Styela clava: one gene and its partner. Each later gene encodes a partner of the first gene's protein in a complex. Links are inferred from orthologs where the notes say so. Each region holds a gene or a part of one and is shown in the gene's direction. Other genes may lie near its edges. The genes, in order: THO complex subunit 1-like and THO complex subunit 7 homolog.

Region 1 (8,178 bases):
CATGCATTCAATCGTTGAGCTTTCTGCTCCTCAGTCAACTCAAGAGCCTTTGGCATCATTTTGGCACACACCTTTCGCACTCCCAAAGTGTCTACCGAAATGGTGCAGACCGTTTCTTTGTCCATCCCAACTTCTTTGGCAATGACGCGAGTTGTTAAGCGACGGTCACTGCGAACCAACTGCCGAACCTTTTTGATGTTTTGGTATCAGTTGTGGAAGTGCAGGGCCTTCCTGACTTTGGATCATTCTCAACATCTTCCCTGCCTGCCACAAATCGCTTGTGCCATTTAAAAACTCTTGTTCTGGACATGGAAAAATCTCCATAAACATCACGCAACATCTTCAAAGTCTCATTCGCCGTTTTTCCCGAGTTTGACACAAAATTTAATGTTAATTCTTCGCTCAATCGTCATTCTGCAATTGAATCCCCTATCGCCAAAAAACTCAATCAGATCTCGCAAAGCAATTTTTTTTTCAACAAGCAATTAATCACATTCACCTATGGCTCCTAAAAAGCAAAAATAATTGCGCTATTGTGTCAAAACAGCTGTTAAACAAAGAACACATATTACGCCACACTGTAAAAGTGCTGATTACCGGTGGTAAATCATGTTGCGCAATCTGTGACGACAATCCCGTTTCATTTTAGCCACACCTCGTAGAAACAAATTTAATTCAAAGAGGCAGCCGATTCGTCTGATAAAAAATTTTACGAGCGGTGATCCTTGTTGGAATTAAGCAATAATTTTATATTTGTTCACGAGTGATATTTGACTCAACTTTGACATTACCTCCTCCGATTTAAACAGTTTAAGAAATAAATTCCATAACATGAATTTATCTATAGTTTCGAAAATATATGATATTAGAGTTAGACGACAGCTCTAAACAAATAGTTATGCCAAAACCGAGTCGGATATTACTGATGACACGCTGACACCAAAGTTATATTTAATGTTGCTCAATAGTTAACATTTTCCGTAAATACGAAGAACATGTAAATCAGGGACGAGGACGTAGAAAACAAATTTTCAAAGGGGGGTTCTCAAATTTTTAATTGCCAAATTACACCGTAACAGCTATCGGGTACGGGCAGGGGCGCAGCCAGGATTTTCAAAAGGGGGATTTTAAAATCGGAATTGTGAATTTCCATGCAACGGCTTCTGAAATGGTCGCCGCGATTGCGCGATCGTTAAAATAGTCATATAATATATAATGACTTTTTCTGTCGCGTAATATTCAATCCATGAAAACTACGAAAATTTAAAATGTTTTTCTATTTTAATTTTATTGTGTTCAACCGTAAGTAACTAGCGGTTTAGACGACTTACGACAACATTACTAATCTAAAATCCCACTGCACACAATGATGTGAGGTCAACTTATAGCAACTACCCCCCCCCCCCCAAATGTACCCATTTCATGTTTAAATCATCAAAACAAAGTTAATTTTTCCCAAAATTCGAACAAAGACTTTCGTAGGAATCAAATTACACCATTTTTAAGAACATAACATGTTCCACCCAGTCATTATCAAATTAAAATTTATATTCTCAAGACCTTTGGCACTGATTGAAATAATTATATCTAAGTTCCCATCCGTACGATGTACATATTTACTCTTATTGAGATAATAGGAGTTTCTGTTTATAACGTGAATCACGAGCTCACGTTTACAGCATTTAATTAGATTTATGATCGACGTATAAATACGACTCGATATCTTTCAATGAAAAGCTAGTGTGGATAAATGTTTTAAGATTTGTATTCTGTGTGTCGTGGAAATCTGAGAATAAAATCAAACAGAGTTTTCTAAAGTCTTCATTAACGTGGGCATTGAAGCTGAAGGGTGAACGGGCGATTGGCAGTTCTGAGACGGTCTACGATATAGCAATATACGGTGACATCACATCCATTTACCAATTATTATAAATTATATATGTTATAAACTGACCGAATATGTTTAGTTTTGATATAGATTTTTGCGCTCTTGCGAATTCGTTATCGTCGTTAGAAAAATCCCAAGATCTGCTATAAAATCCCAGAAAGTAAAATTTAATCAGGAACAATAAAATACATATCGAGTATATTTATCAAAAATACATCTTCTCCGCCTTGAAGTCCCCAAGAAACGGCTTCTGAACAGGTCGTCGCGATTACGCCACTCGTTAAAAGAGCCGGCTTTTTCAACGAATATGTAAAGACTTTTCTGTTGCATAAAATATTCAATCCATGGCCGATATGGCCATATTTAAAATGGGCTGCTTCATTAATTGGGTCGTGATCAATTTAATCTGCAATTTCGATAATATTAAATAAAGCATCACTAGAGATAGAAACTGCATCTAATCGAAGTTGTCGAGCCTTAACCTTTGTGTCGCAATGGACTTCATGATACGGGAAGCCGTAACCGACCAGCAGTTACGTGACCACCCTACGGCGGCGACGAGTCCAGTAAACCCTATCGCACATATTTATCTGCCACGGGATTCGAACTTGCGAACCCACAAAGGGTACCCTGATCAGAGGAGCGGTGCCAAGCGTATTCCTAACGCTTTCAGGTCAGGTATGGGATTAGTTAGCCAGGTATTTGTTTTCGGAAGCATGGACTTGATATTAGTATTAGTTGGTACTTTCAAATTGATTGAATATTTCGAATCAAAATGATGCGTTGAAAAATGTAAACTAGTTCGTAGGTGCCAACTTGCAAAACCAGTCTTATAAGTACAAGAGAGCTATGCTCAAATATATGGACACGTCACAGCAGATACCCCAGTCTACGCCTATTTTGACACCAAGCGAAGCAGTACTGCAGTAGTTTACCTTACCTTATCTTTATCATTGCTGGTACCGGTAACCTCAAAAAACTTCCGAGTTTCGAGTAGCGAGAATTTTCGGAATCGGTCGTCACGCTTGGCGGATTAAAATCCGTGTTCCCACGATTGAAAAGTGATACAGCGAATATTTGAATGAAATATTGGATCCCATAGGGTTCATAGAAAATTTAGGACTAAAAAAAAGTAATAACCTTATGGCAAAAAAATCAATCTTAAAAAAATGAAAATTTCAAAGCAATTGGTCCAGTATTCGAAGAGAAAAGCGATTTTATCATGACGAAGGAGAAAATACCAAAAACAACAACATAATATTGAAACGATCGTTATGTACACTGACGTGTCCAATAAGAGATTATTCCAATTATAAAATTCTCAGGGTATGTATGAAAAGAATTTATCTGAGAGAGAGGAAGCGAATTCAATATTTTTGTCAACCACAATACAAATAAATATTAAAATGATAAATTACACAGCATTTATTCAGGTATCGACTGGGAGGTCATCAAAGGCAGCTACCACCCATCCCAGCCGTATGATTTTTGAGAACGAAATAAAAAATAACCGTCGACTACCGTGTTTCCCCGAAAATAAGACCTACCCTGAAAATGAGACCTAGCCGGAATTTTAAGAATGATTTTAATATAAGCCCTCCACTTAAAATAAGACCTAGTACAGTGGTTCTCAACCTTTTATGGCTCGTGGCCCCCTTCCGTTGGCTTTTCGCACTCGTGGCCCCCCTGTTCCCCATTTTAAAAAACTAGACGCGTTGGATGGTATTATGTATTTACGACCTTTTATGAAATGCAAAAACAAACCACAGTCAAGAAAGTCAAAGCTTTTCAGTAAACAATCAATGGGAATCTTGTGCTTGGGACTGTCTGACTAGGTTCCTTATATTAGGCACCGTCTGTGATATAGCCAGACGAATGTCACTGTCAACATCAAGACGGTTTCTAAATTTTGTTTTCATGGTAGCAAGATCAGTGCAAATATGTTTGAAATACTTTTTACATGCAATAGTGGTACTTGGCATAGTCAATGTTGCTTTCTTGTCGAATTTAATTCACTTGGCAGCCAAGCACCGATATCATTTATATAAACAGCTTTTATCTTGGGATAATTTTTGTCACGGTGGTTTTGGAGTTTAGATGGACGTAATGATTTATTGCTCATTACATACGAGAAATGCAGGACTTGCGCACATTTTGTGTCATTTACTTTGGTAAAGCCAAAGCCAACGTAACTGTCGTTCCATTTTCGTATTTTGGGCATTAGAAATATAGGATTCTGAGTCTAAAATACGATACCGACAGTTATCTCTCACCATGGACCTTTCCCCGAGCATCGACTTCCTTGTTTACTTCGTGACATTGGCCAATCGGCAAAATGCAAAAAGTGACGTAACAATGCTCCCTTTTCGCATCCGCTCAGACACTTTTCTCACTCAGACAGGAATTAAAAATTCCTGTAGAAATAGCTGTGATAGACTGGGCTAAAATTCTTTACCGGTACTTTTAAAAAACAGATTGTTGTATGCGATGAATCATAAACCTTTGTTGAACCTATGTTTGAAACCTATACCGATTTTACAGGCGCCAACTCGCGAAACCACTCTTAAAATAAGCCCCGAAAATTTTGCAATGATGAAGTACAGGAAGAATTTTTCGTGGGTCAAAGGTCGGGGAAAGGTCCATAGTGAAACCAGTCTGCAGGTTAGACTGCTTACCAACGAACTATTTTGATTGATAGATTCCTAATTCCATTATGATCAAACAATTCACGCACAAGAAAGTGAATACACCCTGTGACCTGAAATTACCTATTCAGATAATGAAACTGAGGCAACGGGAATTTACTTTTAAAGGGAAAGTATGCAAACGAAGTCGCTTTTTAATCAATTATTAAACTCGTGTCGTGGCCCCCCTTGAGCTGCTCCGTGGCCCCTTTGGGGGGCCACCGGCCCCCGGTTGAGAACCACTGAGTCCTTGTAGATAACGCAAATTTTTTTTGACCTATATATCAAGAAATCTCTCCAGCACGTTTTAAATGATCAGTCTAAAACGTATGGGAGAGGAAAACGTGTTATTTAAGTAAATTGATATCGATTTGTATATTTTTTATATTTAAAAATCTCGTGATTCTCTACTTTGTAATTCTGTTTTTGATGAATGAAAATAAAAGACATCCCCTGAAAAGAAAAAAAAAAGAAAATTGAATAAGACACTGTCTTATTTTCGGGGAAACACGGTGGTTAACTACCAAATATATTTAAACGAAGAATAACATCAATGCAAATAATATTGTGAAGAGGTACAAAAATAAGTGGATATTGAAAAAATTGTTCAACGAAAGTTGAAAAAAAAAAACTTTCTTTTTGGGGTCAAAAGTCAGAAAAATATCCGGGGTCAAAATTCGAGAAATTTTCTTCGTGTTTCGCTGCTAGCTCCACAGTGGTGTTGGGCTGTTTTATAATTTTGTAGAGATCTTCTCACCTATATAATTCCGACTCATTTTGGCCTACAGACTTAGGAAGCTTTTTTTTGCAATGGCCTCTGATTTTGTATTCCAGGATGCATTGTCCTCTTTCAAGGTAAGTCAGTCTTATTGTCAGCTTGTTGACTATGATCATGCGGTCATTTATAAACAAATTGCAGAATTTTATTAGTCATTTCACACACGCTCACATGCACCCACCAGCCACACACACAACCACTGAGAAGTTATTTAAGTATGAATAAAACGAGATAAATTTAGGGTATTCGGTATACTATACAGTAAACAAAAATAAATAAATAAATACTAGAAAAGAAAAAAATTTTCTGCCACACCATATTGATATTTTTGTAATGGTTGCCATTGCCAAATTGATCGATCTTCTAATCGTTAATTAAGATATAAAAGGAAGATTCTATTGAAAACATATTGCCAAGCTGATTATAGTTGGAGTCAAATGCCAAGTTGCCCAACCAAAGTTGCCAGAATTGGGTGCATGAAGAGGTGGGCGAGACCATTTCATTCCCCAAATTAGAGCCTATTACAGTATTATTGCCAAATTATAGTCCAGATTGTAATAAGTAATTAAAGTTACCGGTAACAGTAAAATTACAATAATTAAGTAAAGTAGGATGTGGAAATAAATTGGTTACAAAGGGTGTAAGTGAGGTTTTTCATTCTTGGGTATTGATTTCAGACAAGGATATAGGAATAAGGTTGTTATTTCACAGGATATCGGAGTCTTTTTTTGATTTTTCCCTATGTGTTTTACTTCATTTAATCACTTTGAAGTAACCTGAAAAACAAAAAATAAAACCGTGAGTAGATGTTTCAATGATTGGGTGAAGGGGAACGCTCTGAACTATTTATTACAGGCAAAAAATAATTGTTTAATTAAATGGGATGTCATCAAACATTCCAGGGTTTTTAGCAAAAAATAGCACTTTTGGTCGTGTGCCCGCCGACGCGTGTCAGGTTTAAGTAGCCTACCTGTAAGATTATGATTGAGGCAAGCATGGCGCGATCTGACGCGTCTTCCATCATGATAGATGCTCTCGTTTCAGAGTGTTCAAATTGAGTGTTTGTTTTATTGAACCAAATGTCAGGACATCTTGGAATTGGAGAATCTTTCCTTATTGTAAAATTATGCAGTACCATTGCTCTCAACAACAGGTATGGCCTATCAACTCACCACATAAAACTAACCTGATCGAATTTTGAAAAATTTGTTATGGTGTTACTTATTATTTGCGAAGTTCTTTTTTTGAGACGTCTTATACCTTATTAATTCTGTAATTTTGAAACTACTCATTTTTAAGTAAACTCATTGGAAATTGCAGCATAAAGATGTTTTGAATGTTTCAGTTTTGTTAATATTTTTCTATTCAACTTCTCAATATTATGCTGATATGAAACTGTTACTGAACGGCTGTGAACGCTTTATATTTGTTTATGCAGAATGAAATTTTCGAAGATTTATCAAGTGGAAAGATTGATTCTATTGTTTCAATAAAAAGTGTTTTTCAAACTATCTCTGGCACTGAAGCAGATAAACGATTGGCAGCAGATCAAGCATTTCGTATTACAGTATCCAATCTCATTCAGGAGACAATAAAAGAAATTCATGGGGATAAAGAAATGGCAAATGATGCATTGAAAGTTATTTCACTCACTGTTGTTGCTGCTAAACAAGGTTCTATTCTGTATAACACAAATTTTTTATATGATGTTTCAATACATCTTTTGCTTTGTACAATACTCTGCTCAAGGAACCCCTGCTTGGTAAGGTGATACTACAGAAAGGCACAGTTTTCCGATTCCATAAATATCGCCCACATTTAGAGACATCGGGTATAACAGTGAGTGCCCCGCCTTCACGAGGCAGTCTGGGCCTCCATATCGACTCAAAACAGTAAACTGGCGTTCCGCAATAAACTGAAAGGAAGCGTATCTAAAAACATCATAATTGGATTCCTCTGAAAAAAATAATCTAATTTACAAACGGAAAAAAATTTACTGTACCATTCAAGAGTTTTTAGCAAAAAAACACAATTTTGGTCATGTGACAAACGTGTCTAATTGGTTAAAATTATTACCAAGACAAGCTTGGCGCGATTTAACGCATCTGCTGTCATGCCAGTCGCCCACGTTTCAGCGACGAATAGAGTGTTTAATGTCAGGACATCTTGGAATCGTAAAACTGTGCTCTACTGTACTATAGTTTGGAAGGATCGGAATCTTTCCTGTTTGCTATTTCTTACCCAATTCATTACTTTGGGCGAGTTGGTCTGCATAGGATTTGATTTGAGATTTAACCTGCTATGCCATCATAGTTAAGTCTAACACTTTAACCATTAGGCCACCTCATTCATTACAATTTTTTACTACAACACTATTTGAATTCAAGTTAGTCTGGCGTGTGGCACTGACTTTCGGTGGTTTGAATTAGATAACCCTGTCTATCCAAGTTTCATTCAATATTCAATAATGTCAGTTAAGTTATTTTCATTTCTCTTTTTTTGAGGAATTAGCAATCCAAATTACAATCCGAAATCAGCTTTTCTACAACTTATCAAGAGGACTGCATTTAAGTTTTTTTAAACAAACCTATTATAAAATTGATTCTGTTTTAGGTATGTGTTCGGCAAGTCTACCATTCAGCCTTCTAGGAGATTTGTTAGATTGCCTTACTCTTGACACATGTGACCCAGTGTTTTGCTTTATTGAAGAGAGAGTAGCAACATGGAAATCTTCACAGTTTTATACTGCAGGTCAATATTGAATAATAGCTGATTGTTTTCTTATTGATTCGTGTATATTTCAAGTGATTTGCTATTACTAAAATAAA
Region 2 (7,628 bases), on another chromosome or scaffold:
AATAAATGTACCACCAATTCTATGATGGGAAGAAGCAAACATTTCGAAAGTATAGATTTGGATAGTTATTCTCAAGCTATAGCAGTGAGTTGTTCGGGGAAGAGTACATTTTGGCTGTTGAATAGAAATTCACTGAAGTTTATGAAATTATTTAAATGGATCATAAGTTGAATACGCAAAATCTCAACATTGTTATTGAATTTTGGGGTAAAAGCATACGATCTGGGGCACAGCCAGGATTTTTCAACGGGGGTTACAGTTAAATTAAATAAAAAATATTTAATTAGGAATAGTTATTAACCCTCTACTAGACACACTAATTGTTACGTTCAAGACTTTTCTACAAATTTTGCTCAATTTTCGTTGAAGTGAAAATCTCCGTTAGTTTGGCGTTTAAAATCGGCGAATCAGTTGGAATATTTTGAGAATGAAAGGTAGTGCAATGTAAGCCCTAGGGTTAATCTCCAGGGTCTGGAAGAGTTAATAAACTAAAAAGTATACATTGTTCACAGCGAAATTCCACAGTTACGTGTAGCCCGCCTCTCCTTGCCTGGCGGTGTTTGGTGAATATTTTGCAAGTCCTATTTCAAACATGGACCATTAATCCGTAGTCCGCGGATACCCGCATTTAGAAATAAAACCTTAAAAATCGCGAAAAATAAATTTTGGAGAGAACTATAACTCGCAGATGTCAGTAGCGTCATAAGTGTTTATATGTACAAAAACACGTTCGCATGTATCGTCGATCAAATTCATGAAATGTGAAACTAATACTTGGAATTTAATGTTAATGAAGTTGATTTTTTATTGCCATTCATTGATTATTTACATGCGCCATGATGAGTGGCGGGCACAATCGTATTTTTTATATTGAGTTATTCGAATATTTTTAACAAACACCGAATAATGAATATTGTCATTTTAAACAACACTAATTGGGATATAGGCCGCCGAAACGATGCTGTGGCAATAATTTTTTTTTCTTTTTCGGATTTTACTAGATGGCTGAAAACTCCATAACAATGCTGCTTTTTTATTTCATAATTTTGTCATAATCGAAGGCTGCAGTAAATGTTGTCACCACGATCGTTTCGGAGGCTGACATTCCAATTAATATTGTTAAACTATATCAAAGCACTTTATTATTCACTAGCAAACATTAATGATCGTAGTTTGGTTTTTATATTTCGGACAGAATTCTGAGTTCACATCGGCGAAGATGTTAAAGACAACTATTGAGGAGTGCATTTACAACACAAATTAATTTTATTGTGATTTTTATATTCTGTGTAAGATTTGCAACACAATTTGTAAATAACGGTCCCAATTTTAGACCAACAATATTATTATTACTGACCCCGGGATGCGATATTTGTGAGGCGTATTGTTCACATTTCTATGCTTTTAATTTTAGATCGTGTCCGTGTTACTTTCGTATTAAATAATAATCAATAAACGCAAATTGGTAATCTTTAGAATACTCAATGTTCAGTATTCACGTAACTCAGATTTGGGTTTGGGTTAAAACACTGATACTAAACACGTGAATAAATAGGCAATAATGACATTTCTACATGGTCAAAATAATATTTCTCCCCAATACCTCAAGAAATTTCCACAAAATACTATGTTCACTTGTCTTACTTATCTGTTTCGACGTTTCTAAATTTACAAAAACGGTGATGATGCGCTTTTTGCGAAAACGTTTCTACCTGTTAGTGATAGCCGTCGGTTAATTTTTACCCGTAACTCGTTGTAAATTAATGTTAATGTTTTTCGCTATAAGTAATTTTTCCAAATAAGGCCATTTTCGCTTCGATAATACCCTAGATTCTAATAAAAACAAGGCTTAGGTTCGTGTTGTGTGAAAAACTTCAGATAAACCTCTTTAATAATAAATAATCAAATCGTATGCCTCTTGGGCGGAAGGGTGTGCTGCTAGGCTTTGAAATTTGGTTAATCAGCTTTTTTCGCTATACGTAATTTTTCAAAAATGGGCCATTTTCGCTTCGATAATATCCTAGATTCTAATAAAAACAAGGCTTAGGTTCGAGTTGTGTGAAAAACTTCAGATAAACCTCTTTAATAATAAATAATCAAATCGGATGCCTCTTGGGCGGAAGGGTGTGCTGCTAGGCTTTGAAATTTGGCTAAATCAGCTTTTTTCGCTATAAGTAATTTTTCCAAATAAGGCCATTTTCGCTTCGATAATACCCTAAATTCTAATAAAAACAAGGCTTAGGTTCAAGATGTGTGAAAAACTTCAGATAAACCTCGTTAATAATAAATAATCAAATCGGATGCCTCTTGGGCGGAAGGGTGTGCTGCTAGGCATTGAAATTTGGTTAAATCAGCTTTTTTCGCTATACGTAATTTTTCAAAAATGGGCCATTTTCGCTTCGATAATACCCTAGATTCTAATAAAAACAAGGCTTAGGTTCGTGTTGTGTGAAAAACTTCAGATAAACCTCTTTAATAATAAATAATCAAATCGGATGCCTCTTGGGCGGAAGGGTGTGCTGCTAGGCTTTGAAATTTGGTTAAATCGGCTTTTTTCGCTATACGTAATTTTTCAAAAATGGGCCATTTTCGCTTCGATAATACCCTAGATTCTAATAAAAAACAAGGCTTAGGTTCGAACTGTGTGAAAAACTTCAGATAAACATCTTTAATAATAAATAATGAAATCGGATGCCTCTTGGGCGGAAGGGTGTGCTGCTAGGCTTTGAAATTTGATTGAATCAGCTTTTTTCGCTATACGTAATTTTTTCAAAATGGGCCATTTTCGCTTCGATAATACCCTAGATTCTAATAAAAACAAGGCTTAGGTTCGAGTTGTGTGAAAAACTTCAGATAAACCTCTTTAATAATAAACAATCAAATCGGATGCCTCTTGGGCGGAAGGGTGTGCTGCTAGGCTTTGAAATTTGGTTGAATCAGCTTTTTTCGCTATACGTAATTTTTCAAAAATGGGCCATTTTCGCTTCGATAATACCCTAGATTCTAATAAAAACAAGGCTTAGGTTCGAGTTGTGTGAAAAACTTCAGATAAACCTCTTTAATAATAAATAATCAAATCGGATGCCTCTTGGGCGGAAGGATGTGCTGCTAGGCTTTGAAATTTGGCTAAATCAGCTTTTTTGACTATAAGTAATTTTTCCAAATAAGGCCATTTTCGCTTCGATAATACCCTAGATTCTAATAAAAACAAGGCTTAGGTTCGAGTTGTGTGAAAAACTTCAGATAAACCTCTTTAATAATAAATAATCAAATCGGATGCCTCTTGGGCGGAAGGGTGTGCTGCTAGGCTTTGAAATTTGGTTAAATCAGATTTTTTCGCTATACGTAATTTTTCCAAAATGGGCCATTTTCGCTTCGATAATACCCTAGATTCTAATAAAAACAAGGCTTAGGTTCGAGTTGTGTGAAAAACTTCAGATAAACCTCTTTAATAATAAATAATCAAATCGGATGCCTCTTGGGCGGAAGGGTGTGCTGCTAGGCTTTGAAATTTGGCTAAATCAGCTTTTTTCGCTATAAGTAATTTTTCCAAATAAGGCCATTTTCGCTTCGATAATACCCTAAATTCTAATAAAAACAAGGCTTAGGTTCAAGATGTGTGAAAAACTTCAGATAAACATCTTTAATAATAAATAATCAAATCGGATGCCTCTTGGGCGGAAGGGCGTGCTGCTAGGCTTTGAAATTTGGCTAAATCAGCTTTTTTCGCTATACGCAATTTTTCAAAAATAGGCCATTTTCGCTTCGATAATACCCTAGATTCTAATAAAAACATGACTTAGGTTCGAGTTGTGTAAATAACTTCAGATAAACCTCTTTAATAATAAATAATCAAATCGGATGCCTCTTGGGCGGAAGGATGTGCTGCTAGGCTTTGAAATTTGACTAAATCAGCTTTTTTAGCTATAGGTAATTTTCCGAATAAGGACGTTTTTTAGCTATGAGAATACCCTAGGTTTTAAAATTTGGAAGGCTTATGTTCTCCTATGGGGGTACGCTGACTCCCCATTTTTTAAACTCGTCATCCATCTCCTTAGTTTTGTTTACTGTACAACTTGACTTGATTTAGGAATTGCTCATCTGCTATTTCGAAGGAAGTTAAATAAAATTCGTGTCATTTTTATTGTTTTTTCATTGTTTATCATGTAATTTATTGTTATTTTTTGCTTTGTAGATGTTAATTTATCGTAAATGATTAGTATCTTCCCATTGATCGTATTCTAAATTCGTTTTTCTACATTTTTTCGGATGTAGATTATGACACTCCTTCATTTCTGCTGCCAATATTCACCTTTCCGCTTCGCCGCACACAAAAGTCAAATTGCTACTAGCTTCACAGTGGTTGCTGTTTGTCAGTTTGCAGCGTTACTCTCTGACAATACTTTTGCACGCGTGCTGTCGTACGGTACCCTACAGTCGCAGAACCGCTGGTGCAAGGCAGCCAAATATTCTGGATATTTTCAACAAGACGTCATCAAGGTTCAACGGTTATTAAATAACTCATTAACTGGATCAGAGGATAATGGCTACGGATGGTAAGCAGAAATGCCCGAACATTTGCAATCTATACCGGTACCGGTACGAAATTGAGGGTCTAGTATAAGTTTATTTCGACTCCATAATCAGCATAACAATACATTTGACGGATAAAAACAAATAAATAAAAACTGATTATGAAATCAGGGGAGCAAACGAAACCTTAGATAGGTAGGGTTTTATAACGTACAAAATATAAGATGGAAGGTTTTGCCAAGAGGAAGTGGTACGTGTTTACTCACCTAAAATTATTAAGTTATTTCACACACACTCACATGCACCCACCAGCCACACACACACCCAACCACTGAGAAGTTATTTAAGTGAAAATAAAACACGATAAATTTAGGGTATACGGTACTATACAGTAAACAAAAAAATATAAATAAATACTAGAAAAGAAAAAAAATTATTTGCCACACCATATTGATAATTTTGTAATGGTTGCCAATGCCAAATTGATCGATCTTCCAATCGTTAATTAAAATATAAAAGGAAGATTCTATTGAAAACATATTGCCAAGCTGATTAGGTACCGGTATAGTTGGAGTCAAATGCCAAGTTGCCCAACCAAAGTTGCCAGAATTGGGTGCATGAAGAGGTGGGCGAGACCATTCCATTCCCCAAATTAGAGCCTATTATTGCCAAATTATAGTCCAGATTGTGATAAGTAATTAAAGTTACTGGAACAGTAAAATTACTATAATTAACTAAAGTTGGATATGGAAAAAAATTGGTTACAAAGGGTGTAAGTGAGGTTTTTCATTCTTGGGTATTGATTTCAGACAAGGATATAGGAATAAGATTGTTATTTCACAGGATATCGGAGTCTTTGTTTGATTTTTTCCTTATGTGTTTTACTTCATTTAATCACTTTGAAGTAACCTGAAAAACAAAAAATAGTTTAGTTTAGTGCCACAAGTACTTGCAGTGGGGGTAGCATAACGAATTTTGTATATGTTATTCCTAACCCCCACCTGACTATGCCATCCAAAAATTACGTCACCATCACGTCATATGGCTTGCCAAAGTATAATTACGATCGCCCGAAATGGCATCTCACTCCCATCGTGATTGTTGTGACGCGAAAACGAGAGAAATAGCTTGCTCGATTTCGGATGATCGTCTGCACGTTTTGGACGACCAGCCGCATACTTTGGTGGGCCTTATTACGCCACTGTGATGTCGAAATGACGTATTTTTTCGGTGACGTAGTTGGGTGGGGGTTAGGATTGACATATGCAAAAATTGTTGAGTCAGGCCAACTAGAAGTACATGTGGTACCGGTACTAAACTATACCAGACCCACATACAGACTTACATTACTGCATTATTCTTCACTCAATTTTTGGCTTTTAGATGGGAGATTTCAAAGGGGTACCGTACCTATCCTATGCTACATAACTGACTATATAAAGTATAATGAAAATTTTTACCCCTTAATTTTGAATTCTTTGTCGAATACTGAAATATGTCTCAACGACTTTAATTAACTCTTTTAAGACCCATTGATACCGGTATGTTTTATTGGTAGGTGGGATGTCATATTAAGACTGTAAGAGGAAGACATAGTTGTGACTTGATATGATCAACCGAGTTCACTATTCTCATACTATGTCAGAGCAGATAATTGAATGAGAGACTATCAACTGGTTGATATGATGACGGCAACTTACTGTCGTATCTACTTTCAGAACTTATTCCGAATAAATGTAAAAATTCATCCTGTACCACTTTCTCTGCTTCAGATTTCAAGCAATAATATTTTTTTTTAGATGAAGTAATTCGAAAGCGTCTCCTGATAGATGGAGATGGAGGCGGGGATGAAAGAAGATTCACTACTTTGATGAAACTCTTTATGAAATGGTGCAATACTGAATCTTCAGAAACTGATCAGTAAGAGATATGTACTAACTACTAAGACAGTAAGAGTTGAATATAGAATGGATTTCTGAAAAAGAAAAGATATTTGAGAGTAGTGTCTTATAAAAATGTGGTTTTATAATGGATTTCTTATAGTATACATAAAATTACTCAAAACTAGAAATCAAAAAGCTTTACACCGAAAGTAAAAAAAGTATTATGACATTCGATTTCAAAACACATATCAATTAATAAAGAAAACAGTGAGATGCAAATAACAAGATGCTGTTATCACAGTTCCTGGTAAAATTGGCCTAAATATAATAAACTGCAAAATTTATACTACTGGTTTTTATTCAGTCAGACACTACAAAGAATGCTATCAATTCTATCTCAAAGTGAATTTGCAATGACGAGGGCAACTTATGTTCATGAAATGAATAAAAAGCAGATGAGAAAGTATGAAAAAATACAGGTATTCGACTATGATTTTAGGGAGAGGGAAGACAATACAAAGGCTTGATTGATCAATCTTATGATATTGGTATTTAAACTTGTGAATTTCCCCTGTTGTGACAAAACAAGCACAATGGGTAGCATCTTCTTATTAATAAAACAGAAATGATTATATTCACTATGTAATATTGTTAACAACGAATTTATTGCACAATTTAAGCAACTATGTGAGTGTCTGATGGACTTATTATTTGTTATAAGTGTCTTTATCGATAATCATGGTCAACTAGTTATGTTGACAATAAAAAATGATATTTTCCCCCTAGAACTTACACTTTGTCCCTTAGGCAAAAGCAGTTGTCTTGATAGAAGCCTAGCTATGCAACTGCAGTAGTTTCTTGCAACTGTTTTATAAGTACCTTCTCCAGTTTTCGTATGGAGATCGGGATTTTGTATTGAGCATAGAAAAATTATAAAACTATATGTAAATATATATCTGAGATTTAATTGGCTTATTGATCCATAATATGTTGTATTCAATGTTTTGTACAAATATAAGAACGACATTGACAACAATGTTGAACTGGCACATCATGAGATAGAGAAATGTAAGAATGATTTGGAAAAAGCAAAACTAGTACGAAAGAACAGACAAGAATATGATGCACTGGCTACTATCGTTTTACAGCATCCTGATCGGAAGAAAACGTCTAAGTTTGTTTTTACGATTTTTCAACTTGTTTCGAATAAGC

Evidence for each region.
Region 2: the proteins of THO complex subunit 1-like (region 1) and THO complex subunit 7 homolog are in contact, whole or in part, in a cryo-EM structure (PDB 7APK), measured with the Homo sapiens proteins. The link is inferred for Styela clava from reciprocal best matches to the Homo sapiens genes THOC1 and THOC7. Residues at the interface, in NP_005122.2 of Homo sapiens: Leu10, Arg14, Glu46, Gln53, Arg56, Glu60, Ile63, Ile64, Asp99, Asp102, Cys103, Leu104, Pro105, Arg146, Gln151; in NP_079351.2 of Homo sapiens: Tyr47, Gln51, Leu54, Ser55, Ser58, Gln59, Phe62, Gly65, Lys66, Leu69, Val70, Met73, Arg76, Glu77, Asn80, Ile84, Ile88.

Annotation. Positions count from the first base shown.
Region 1 is NC_135252.1:8,700,794-8,708,971, forward strand, and holds the start of THO complex subunit 1-like, read left to right. Parts: upstream 1-5,163; 5' UTR 5,164-5,382; coding exon 5,383-5,427; intron 5,428-6,262; exon of another isoform or gene 6,263-6,476; coding exon of another isoform or gene 6,477-6,503; intron 6,504-6,788; coding exon 6,789-7,023; intron 7,024-7,963; coding exon 7,964-8,101; intron 8,102-8,178. UniProt on the Homo sapiens protein: Component of the THO subcomplex of the TREX complex which is thought to couple mRNA transcription, processing and nuclear export, and which specifically associates with spliced mRNA and not with unspliced pre-mRNA.
Region 2 is NC_135258.1:15,197,861-15,205,488, reverse strand, and holds the start of THO complex subunit 7 homolog, read left to right. Parts: upstream 1-4,365; 5' UTR 4,366-4,543; coding exon 4,544-4,556; intron 4,557-6,332; coding exon 6,333-6,453; intron 6,454-6,780; coding exon 6,781-6,895; intron 6,896-7,435; coding exon 7,436-7,590; intron 7,591-7,628. UniProt on the Homo sapiens protein: Component of the THO subcomplex of the TREX complex which is thought to couple mRNA transcription, processing and nuclear export, and which specifically associates with spliced mRNA and not with unspliced pre-mRNA.